Mus musculus: one gene and its partners. The protein of the gene in region 2 interacts with the protein of the main gene of each other region in a biochemical or structural test. Links are inferred from orthologs where the notes say so. Each region holds a gene or a part of one and is shown on either strand. Other genes may lie near its edges.

What was found. The genes of interacting proteins can lie anywhere in the genome.
Region 1: the proteins of Tnrc6b (region 2) and Ago2 form a complex in vitro, tested with the Homo sapiens proteins (3 studies listed by BioGRID and IntAct, with this or other methods). The link is inferred for Mus musculus from reciprocal best matches to the Homo sapiens genes TNRC6B and AGO2.
Region 3: the proteins of Tnrc6b (region 2) and Ago1 form a complex in vitro, tested with the Homo sapiens proteins (2 studies listed by BioGRID and IntAct). The link is inferred for Mus musculus from reciprocal best matches to the Homo sapiens genes TNRC6B and AGO1.

Annotation. Positions count from the first base shown.
Region 1 is NC_000081.6:73,118,948-73,122,447, forward strand, and holds part of Ago2 (protein argonaute-2), read right to left. Parts: intron 2,302-3,500; coding exon 2,117-2,301; intron 550-2,116; coding exon 390-549; intron 1-389.
Region 2 is NC_000081.6:80,885,813-80,889,312, forward strand, and holds part of Tnrc6b (trinucleotide repeat-containing gene 6B protein), read left to right. Parts: intron 1-1,146; coding exon 1,147-1,221; intron 1,222-2,017; coding exon 2,018-2,063; intron 2,064-3,206; coding exon 3,207-3,343; intron 3,344-3,500.
Region 3 is NC_000070.6:126,437,584-126,441,083, forward strand, and holds part of Ago1 (protein argonaute-1), read right to left. Parts: intron 2,883-3,500; coding exon 2,781-2,882; intron 2,459-2,780; coding exon 2,259-2,458; intron 2,029-2,258; coding exon 1,920-2,028; coding exon of another isoform or gene 1,806-1,919; 3' UTR 1-1,805.

The sequences.
Region 1 (3,500 bases), about 7.8 Mb from region 2:
AGGACTTTCCAGCCCCAAGTGCTTTAGCTTTGATCCTAGCAGTAAGCTCCCAGCCCCAAGTAAGCAGAGTAGAAAACACTGGAGTCTACACTGCAGTAAAGCTCCAGGGACCCGCTGCCAAGTCTGTGGAAGCCCATTCCTGACCTGTCCCGAGGCCACTCACTCTCCCAACTCTTCAGTGGAGACTGCTGGCCCTGGCACAAGGAGCAGGGTGACAACAGCCCCATACCAGCCTTCAACTGTTAGGGACTCCAGCCCTAACAGTCACTCATCCCTGATGCCCCTGGTTCTGAGGAGCCCAGGACTTATGCCCACATAAACTACCAGTGAGCACCTCTCCACTGACCATTTAAGCCAGCTGGTGTATGCATGGGGTGTGGCCACCTCACCTGCCCTGTGGCAGCAGGATGTTGTTGACGCCTCCCAGTTTGACATTGATCTTTAAGCAGAGATTGGATAGGGTCTGTGGCGTGGTCCTCTGCACGTTCTTCATCTGGACGCACTGTGTGGCCATCCCCAGCACTGTGTCTCCCACACGCTTGACTTCCGCTGTGGAGCAGAGGCGCACATGTCACAACTCCCAAATAGAAGCAGCTGTCTTCTGCACCCTTTTGGACTGCACCGGTGCAGTGTTCAGCCACAGCAGCTGCGTTAGGCGCCTGCAGTCAGCCTAGGGAAGATGCTGGCAGACAGAGGGGCAGGGCTCCTGGCGGAATCCTGCTTTAGCACTGCCAGGCACCTGTGCCTGTCTCCCTCAGGACAGGAACCGGGAAGCACATCTCATACCAGCCATTTGTGATCCTGGGCCAGGGCGTGGCAAGCAGAAGCCAGCTATAACTAAGGCTTCAGCATTCCTCAGCAGAAATGACACCTCATGTTAAGCAAATGCCTACGTGGCTAAAAATAAAACCACCGGTCTTGTCAAAACCCTTGGCAAACACAGAACATCAAAGTGCCGTGGGGATCCACACTTGTCCATCCCCACATTCATTCCTGAAGCAGCTGGTCACTGCTCTTAGGACTGTTCTAGAAACGCGGACTCTAGGGACAACACTCATCTCACCTAAACACCACTGCCATGAGAAAGCCTTCTTTGAACTGAGAGGGAAAGACCATGCCATGGGTCTGTGGTCTGCCTGTGGTTAGATAGGACAGACCCCTACTATCACAACCATCAGGAAGCCCAGTTGCTTTCCTTGACCCCTGTATAGATCTCACACCAACACCCTTTTGCTGAAAAAGCCTATGGGGCAGACAGCTCTCACCTTGCAGATCTGTCCATATAGCCTCCCTGCCCACCCCCCCTACTACCCCCCCTGAACAGAAGGCTGTACCTAATCCATTCCCTCTTCTTCAGCATCACTGGGCTCTCCACTGATGAAGGAACAACTACCCTCTAACATTAAGAAACCCACCCTTATGTGGGGTGGTGGCAGAGACCAGACTGACTGAATCCTAGGGAACCAAGAGCCAGTGGGGCCTCCTCGGGGAACACTGACCTATCAGGGCACTCTCTTCCACCTGCCAACACTCATGCCACAGCATGAACATGAAACCAACCGTCAAGTCAAATTATGGGCTGTAGCTGGCCTTTGCTACTTTGTGGGTTCCTCTTTTTCCTGCCCTTTTATTTACTAGTTTCACTCATTAGTAGATAGGAGAAAAAGGAAGATAGAGGTGGGAGAGATCCCTGAATCCCATTTATTTCCTTTTCTTTATTGTCCATGATTACTAATAAAATGCAACCAACCTCCCTGAATGACTAACAACTACTAACACCCTCTCTTGGGGGTGTTGGTGTCAACACAGAGGGGACCAGTCATGTATACACCCTCTGAAAAGTTCCTAAAATTCCAAACATTGCACAATTGCAGAGACTATCTGCAACTATGGGTCACTGGGAGTTGCTTGATACATGGGGTTGTGGCCTCACTCAAGAAGATGATGATGGACCAAACGTATATGAGAGTAACCCACCTCCCTCTCCCCTTCTCAGGTTCAGGAATGGGCAAGAACCAACCATTCAGCTCAGTCAGCACAAAGGGGACTGTTCCAGGCCACTCAGGGCCACTGGGACCTCCTCGCCCCCTGAAGCCTGCAGGGGGCCAACACCTACCATACACAGGAGTTTTGCCAGGCAGGATGACCACCACCAGCTGGAGGCCAGCGTATGTGTTCTTCAGGTGTCGGAACATGGGCTCCACACTGTCTGCACCCTGTGCGTATTTACAGAAGCAGGGCTGACCCTGGATCGGCATCCCAGCATCTCTCGAGATCTTCCTCAGTTGCTCTGTGAAGGACCTGAGGGAAAAGGCCACTTTGCTAAGATGTATAATACATGGTAAGGAGGTCATATCAACCAGGGTCTCCGAGTACAGTTTAACAAGGTCAAAGATCTTGCCTAGCATGCACGCAATCTCAGCATTTGGGAGAGGCAGGAGGGTCTACAGTTAAGGTCATTCATGACTACACATTGAGTTTGAGGCTAGCCTGGGACACATAAGATTCTGTCTAAACAAAAGAAAACAACAACAACAAAAAAGAATTAAGTTTTTTATTTGCTTTCGGTAGCCCAGGCTGGCCTCAAACTCAGAATTCTACTGCCTCGCCCTCTGGGGCCTAGGGTTAGGTACCATGGTATGCTAGAATCTAATCTCAGATAAAGTCAAAGGCATATCAGCCCATGAATGGGGTGAGTACACCATACAACCATGGAAGGCACAGGGGTCATCGATGGGATAAAATGGCAGATATAATATGCATGCTTGTGCTAGGTTAGTAGTGGCGCACGCCTTTAATCCCAGCACTTGGGAGGCAGAGGCAGGCAGATCTCTGAGTTTGAGGCCAGCCTGGTCTACAGAGTGAGTTCTAGGACAGCCAGGGCTATATAGAGACCCTATCTCGAACCCCCCCCCCCCAAAAAAAAAGCATGCTTGCTGCCTTTCTGTAGTGACACAGTATGGTTCTTTTGTGCCATGCAGGCCAACTAAGCAAAATAAAGAACACCATCAGCTGCCTGTGGGTTTTCCTTCCCTGCTGCTCTGGTGGGTGTAGTCTCGGAAACACAGACCCAGAAGAAAAGAGAACAGGTGGCAGTCAAGCAAATCCGGCGCTTGGACTGCCAAACCAGACTCAGGTAGCTGAGAAGACCGGCTACGTTCAGAGCAAAAACATCGATCAGCAGCCAAGGTGGGGACATTTAGCTTCAGCCTAGTGGGCCAGCAGTCACCTCCCCTGTGCTACATTTACAGAATTCATGGTTGTGCACCTGCAATCACACCACCAACAGGTGGGGTGTGTCTGGGGACAGAGATACCAAGGATAGAAGATGGGCAGGAATTGGTCAGCACCCAGTGTCTGCTACTGGCTTCCTTTTCTCTGGGCTCGTGGCTCATTCTGTCAGAAGCACAGGCCAACACTACCACCAGTGCTGGGTGGCAGCCTCACCAAAGAGCCTCTGGCTGAGATGGTAAGGTTACAGCTAGACTTTACAGGCTTTG
Region 2 (3,500 bases):
GTAGACCAGGCTGGCCTCGAACTCAGAAATCCACCTGTCTCTGCCTCCCGAGTGCTGGGATTAAAGGTGTGCGCCACCACACCCAGCCTAGGACTTTTTTTAATGTGATAAAATACACAAAATGTAAAAATTGTCATCTTAACCATTTTTCAATATGCAGGTCAGTGCCACTGAGTGTGCTCACATGCAGTTTGTTTTCTTCTAACGCTGAAAGCTCTGCACTAATAAACTCACTATCTCTCATGCTTGCCAGGACTCTTCTTTAATCTTAATAAAATATATATCTATCACCATAATATATAATTAATTATTAATTTATATATTATATAATTAAAAGGTTATTTATAATTATATATTGTATCTAACATGATATAATATGCAATGTTGTAATATATAGATATATTTGTATATAAGTATATAATATTATATACACTTATTTATGGAGCAAGCTGGTTGTGGTGGCTCATATCTGTAATCACAACCCTCGAAGACAAAAGGCAAAAGGATCAAGAGTTCAAGATATTCTAGGCTTTAGTGAGTGAGGACATCCTGTCTCAACTAACACCAACAATAATAATAAGTATGACATATCATAGCACATGGAATGTTTACCTATAGAATGTGCAGGCCCACAAAGCTCATCCCCCATCCCATTAATCCCTGCCTTCCACTGTGCCAGAGCTCAAGGATAGTGGCTTCCTCCAGGCCTCTTTCTCACTGAGAACTGATGGCCTCCATGCTGTGAACCATATGAAGAGCTCTCTGGATGCATTCCACATTGCCCCCACACAGAGTGATGTTGTGTTCAAACAGGCTCCTTTCCAAACAACATGCACCAGTAGCAATTCTTTCCCTGTTACAAGCCTGCTGGGGTCACAGAAGAGCATCCTACGGGAGGTGGCAGTGGCAGTATGTAGACATCTTACACAGTCTGATACCACTTCTTTGCATGTAAAAAGTAAACTTTGTTTTTCCACTTCACTATGATAAGTAGGAGTAAAAGCATGACTGGACCTAGGGCTTACTAGTCATTTAAAGCTATCAGGTTCAGGAAGGTGAACTCTCAGCTTTGCATTTTCAGTGTGGTTTATAGTTTGGGAGGTTGTGATGAGCTCTGTGACTGAGGTCATGTGTTTCATTCTGTAGTGCTCACTAAAAGGAGGAAACAATGATTCATGGATGAATCCTCTTGCCAAACAGTTTTCAAATATGGGATTGCTGGTAAGTTTCATTTTTCTTCATGTATAAACATAATCTCAAATTTCAGGCATAGTAAGTACACATGTACAGTACAAAATTACAGATTTAAATATGGGTTAAACAGTGTTCTTGGCCCTCTGAGCTAAACAGTATTTCTATTTTATTAAGTGATATATACCAACATTAAAAGTGAATTGTCTTTGTATCTTTTCTCTTGGAAAGGTGGAAACAACAAAGACACTTAAATGGACACTTGTTACTAGTGTCTGCACATCATTTTTAAAAATAAAAATAATCAGAATCACTATACTGGGATTCATTATGTAGAGAAAAATGTGTGCTGTGTCTTTACTTTCCTTATCTCTTGGGAACACTGTGAAGACATCTGGTCATGGTTGTCAAAAGACAAATGATTTGACTACACAGTTTAAGATTTGCTCACTGACACGTCATAAGAAGATATTATCACCATTTAGCTACAACTTGTGGAGTTTGACTATGCATACTTAAGAAGCAGTTTATTTCTCCAGGCAGCTGTTGAACTTGTCCTCTGTCCATAGCTGTACTGATGTTGCTTACATGTGTAATTGACATGTGTAATTACATGTGTTAGACACTTAATTAAGCCTTGATGGCCATCAAATTGTGATTGCAAAAATGTTACAGCCTTCACTCCAGTTTCAAGGTCACGGCAGAGGCTCTTGTGGAGTGCCTATGGTCATGAGGCTCTCACATGAGCAGGAGCGCCTCTTCTCTGATGTACAACGTGTATCCTCCCTTAATCCTTACTCACTTGTGTTTGCTTTGTTTTGTTCAGAGTCAAACTGAGGATAACCCAAGCAGCAAAATGGATTTGTCTGTAGGTATGTGTCTCTACAAACAGGAGGGGAACGTGTTCACGGCTCTGCCAGGCCCTTGGCATCTCCTGCCCTGCTTGGGTTGAGGCAGATTGATAGACATGCTTGATGCTAACTGCTTTATTTTATATCAGATTTCATGCACTAAAGCAGTATAGAGGTTGAAAATTCAAATGACTGAAGTTCCAGGAGAATGTGAAGGAATGTTAAATGCTAGGTTTAACTGTGAGGAGGGTATGTCCACCTCAGAAGCCAACCTTATTCTACTACATGAAAAGTGCAAACTTCACTGCACCATCCCTTATTAGCATCCAGATTTTTTTCCCAAGTACTGGGAGCTAGATTCAGATTATTTTAATATGTCTGTGATACTAGTAAACTAGACCATCAGATTGACTCTCTGTACCCCAAGGTTTTCATCTTTGTCATACTTTTCCGTTGTGACCAGAGCAAATGCAGGGGTCAGCCCATCGTCTGTGAGATTTTTCTCAGGAATGCTTTTGCTCACCCCGAGGAACATAAGAGGAATCAAACTAAGAGTAAGAGGGAACAATCTGGATAGCAGTGGTACTGTGTAGTTTGAGCTGCAACCCAGTTGTGTCATCATATAGCAGATTTATAGGGCTAAGGAAAGGGAGGAGGAGGAAGTCTGCATCACACATGCAGATGAAGCTTGAGCAAGTACTGTAGAAATGTTCAACTGTGTTAAAGTCTTAAGCTTTACATTTTTAGGCAACAGGAGTGCCTCTGATCTTTCTATTCCCCATAATTGCTTTAAAACTCTAACAATGTCTCTAACAAGTGCTAACATAACAAAACAGACTGGTCTCTCACTGAGAAGATTTGACTTTATGAACAAGATGTATTCTCACCCAGCACGTCAATTTTAACCTAAATATTGGCTTAATCAATTTGGCTTCAAGTCTCTCAAGTGTTCCATGGTAGACAAGCTACAGCAGATACATATTTAATTTTTGAAAAACGGTTCAGGAACAGAGCAAGCACCCTGAGCCAGTGAGAATTCTTCCTAGGCTCATTCCAAAGAGTAGAGAGGCTTTGTCCCCGGGTCCCTAGAGAACAGACGGGCCAGGCTACACGTGGCTCTTGAGGGGACATTGATTCCTGACATTTTTATTTATGTCCTTTCAGATAAGAAATTTGATGTGGACAAGAGAACAATGAATCTCGGGGATTTTAATGATATCATGAGGAAGGATCGACCTGGGTTCCGTCCACCTAATTCCAAAGACTTGGGAACCACAGACAGTGGGCCTTATTTTGAGAAGGTGAGTTGAATGCTTTGTTTCAAATAGTCGTTTATGAGAGTCACTGTGTTCTTAATTTGTCTGTGGTAGCAGCTAATTCTAGAGAAAGCATAAACTTACAAACTCAGAGTAAAACATGAATATCCCCTATATTAATGTGGTGACAGGAAAGTAACTG
Region 3 (3,500 bases), on a different chromosome or scaffold from region 2:
AGATCTTCCTTTCTCCAGCGGGCCTCTAAGCCTGGGCTAGAGCTAACATATCATGGCTTCATCGCCAGAGTAGGGCAATCCTAAGCTCAGGCTCCTCAGAAGGGGAACCTGTACACGGAGGTTCAAATTTCCCATCCCAAGCAATAATGCAGGAAGAAAAAAGAATGGTCAAGGAAAGAGGGGGCCTTGCTTCAAGGTCAGCAAAGACAAAGCTAGAACCCACTTCTTTTCCAGTCCTGCAAGACAGCTAGCTGAACCCCAGAACCTCAAGAGAGGGGTAGAAAAAGAAAAGCCCATGCCACCCACTCACATGCCCTAGTGAGAAACAGGAAAATTTCATTTGTGTAAACAGAAGCAAATGGGAGCAGCAAAATTCCCCAGCCTGTCCAGAGGACGTGCTAGAGTCTCGGTTAGTCAGGGATCAAAGGACAGTCCAGTCCAGAAAAGGGGAAGATGCACTTACAGGGAAGAGGGCAGGACAGCGCCCTGGAGGGAGGCTGTCTCGAGAACAAGGCTTTGTCTGCACAGAGGAAGGACAGAGGCTGAGCCCCACCTTGGGGAGACAACCACCCCCTACTTAGCTAGGCCAGAACACAAGTCAGTTCCACAGTTCCCTCTTACGGCTCCATGTTTCTGGAATGCAGACTCATCAGGTATGGGAGGGAATTTCCAGATTTTGGCAATAGACTCAAGTTATGGTATAAAAATAACCTTTAGATTTTTTGTTTTCTTATTTTAGTCCTTACGATCTTCTGCTGTAAGACACCCCAGTTAAGAAATATTGAAACGAGACTTTACCATCAGGGGTAAAAAAGCCAAGAATGAGAAATACTATGACAGTAACTCTAGATCTGGCAGGGTGGTGGTGGGGCCAGGGAAAAGAGGAAGCTAAAGGGGAAAGGCCAAGGGCCAGTCATCTCAGCAGCTCGGAGACTTGTCACGTCTGAAAGTGCAAATGTCAATGGATTTTAACCATCTTGAGGTTGTGACCTTTTTTTAAAAGCTCAATGATTATGGAAGTCAATTCCTTCAAATGAAAATTAGCTGGCATTCTGGCTGGAGGCTCGCTGGCATTGGGCTATTTCTGCCCTCCCTCCCTCCCTCCTTTCCCACCCACACCCCACCCCACAGAGAAAGGTACAAAAGGTTGCAGTTCTGCAGCATTACCGTTGCGGGAAGGCACTGGTTACCCACCAGCAGGCGGAAGGAAGACAGGGTCATGTCACCTCAGAGCTAAGTGCCATAGTGCCTTAAGTGTTACGAGGGCTGGATGTCTGTCAGGGAAAAGGTGCATGGGGTAGAGAATGTGGAGAGGAATGATGGGAGGGGATGGCAGCTGGGGAGGAGCAACCCAAACCATTAGCATTAAAAATCTTCCTACAAAGTGGATTCTGAACCCATGAAAACATCTAGTATCCTAAAATATTGATCTGAGTCTGTTTTCCTTTTTCTTAAACAAATCTAGACCTTTTCTGATTAAGGCTCCTAAAAATTCCTGCCCTCTTCCCACCCACTTTCTCATCTAGAATAGCAAACCCAAACATACCAGCATTTGACCACAGGGCTGCAGAGCTGACCCTAGCAGGCTGTTGAGCATGAGTCTTTAGCACTGTGAGTCACATGAGACAACTGTGTGTATGGTGGGTACTAGTGATGCCCCTTTTGGTCCAAGGGGGTCGGATATGACAAGATGGGGAGAGGGGTTGAGGACAATGAGGTTGCTATCAGTGATTTCTGGCTGGTAGTCTGTCTTGCTGGTCCTCTTCCCACCCTTATACCCCCTCTGTAGATAGAAACAAGGCCTCCTATACTCCTTCCGACCCCACCTCCCTCTGCCTTGCTTCCTCTGGATTTGGGTGGTACAGCTCCCAGGGCTTGGAAAGCTTTCTTCTATCCAGTGAGGTAACAGCGTTCTGCCTTCAAGCGAAGTACATGGTGCGTAGAGTATCCTGGTGAACCTGCACAGCTTTGGCCAGGGCCTGGGGGTCTCGCCCATTGCTTTGCCCTGATATGTGGCTCCCCTCTCCACTGAAAAGAAAACATATAAAAAAGTCTTTCCTGGTGAACTGAACTGCTGCTAATCCCTCACCCATGCCTACAGTGCCAATTCAGATACCAAATTAAGAGAAAACACCGACTCATGTTTAGGTAGAGAAGCCAAGGGTCTCAAATTGGATAGCATCCACTTCCTTCTATCAACAAAAAGTCCAAAGGGTTGGTACAAAAATGGAAGGAAAAAGCAAACAGCTAGCCTTTACCTGTCATGTTCCTTGTCCACCAGGTGGTATCGTGCCCGGAAAGCCACCAAGCGAGCATAGTAGGCAGGTGCTGGGATAGAGACAGAACGTGTGCATCGTACGTAAGTGTGGCACAGCTGGTATGTCAAGATCTGGAGTTCATCTGCTGTGAAACGGTTGTCATCCCAAAGGACATAATAATGGGATGGTCGGCTGGTACCCTAGGTAAAAAAGATGGTAAGTGGGCCCTAATTGGACAGAGTGGATGCCTGCTGACAAAAAATAAAAACAAGCAAACAATAACAACAAAAAACAAACAAAAAAACCCACTTCTAATTAAGAATATGTTTAGGTTGCATGACCATACCCCACCACCCATAAGAGGAATAATACACAAAATCAAATATTATAAAGCAATCTACAAGTACACTTGGGGCTAGCTAATGGTCATTTTATATACTCAACTACAACAAACATTCTAAATGCAGTAGGAATAACCAACTAATTCTTAACCCAATAAAAACCCCAGGAGATGCCACCTACCTGGATGCCTGCATGGCTGCACAGATAGAAGTCGAACTCAAATGGGTGGGTGATGTTGGTGTCCACAGTGGTCCCTGCTGGGATGTTACCACTCTTCCCAATCTGGAGAGACAAACACAACCAAGATCCCAAGACCTGCCTGGCCCTGCCTGGCACCTTTACTGGATTCTACTCTTACTCTCCCAGAAATCAAGAACAAAGAAGTTTATTCTCTGAGGGAACTAAGTCTTGAAATAGTGGGCTTCTAAAGTCAAGTTTTTGAATCCTGGTTTCGCCATTTACTAGTTGTGTGAGTCTATCAAGCCATTTAACCTTTCTTAAGTTAAACGGAGAGATCAATAGTACCTACTTCACAGAGCTGCTGTGAGGAGACTCCTTGAACAGTTAGTGTGTGGCACATAGGAGAAGTTCAATAAATGGTAGTTCCCTTTCCCTTCTCTGGGAGCTGGTCTATATAAGGGGTCTAGACCAGAGAGCCAGGAGGAGAGGAAGTATGAGGGAGGGAGGAGGGAAAGAGGAGGGAAAGAGGAAGGAGGGAGGAGGGAAAGAGGACGGAGGGAGGAGGGAGAGAGGAGAGAAGGAGGAGGGAGGGAGGAGTGAGAGAGGAGAGAAGGAGGAGGGAGGGAGGAGTGAGAGAGGAGAGAAGGAGGAGGGAGGGAGGAGAAGTGGTGGAGGACGGGCCACAAAGCCAGGGGAAACAGCCAGGGAGGACACACAGGG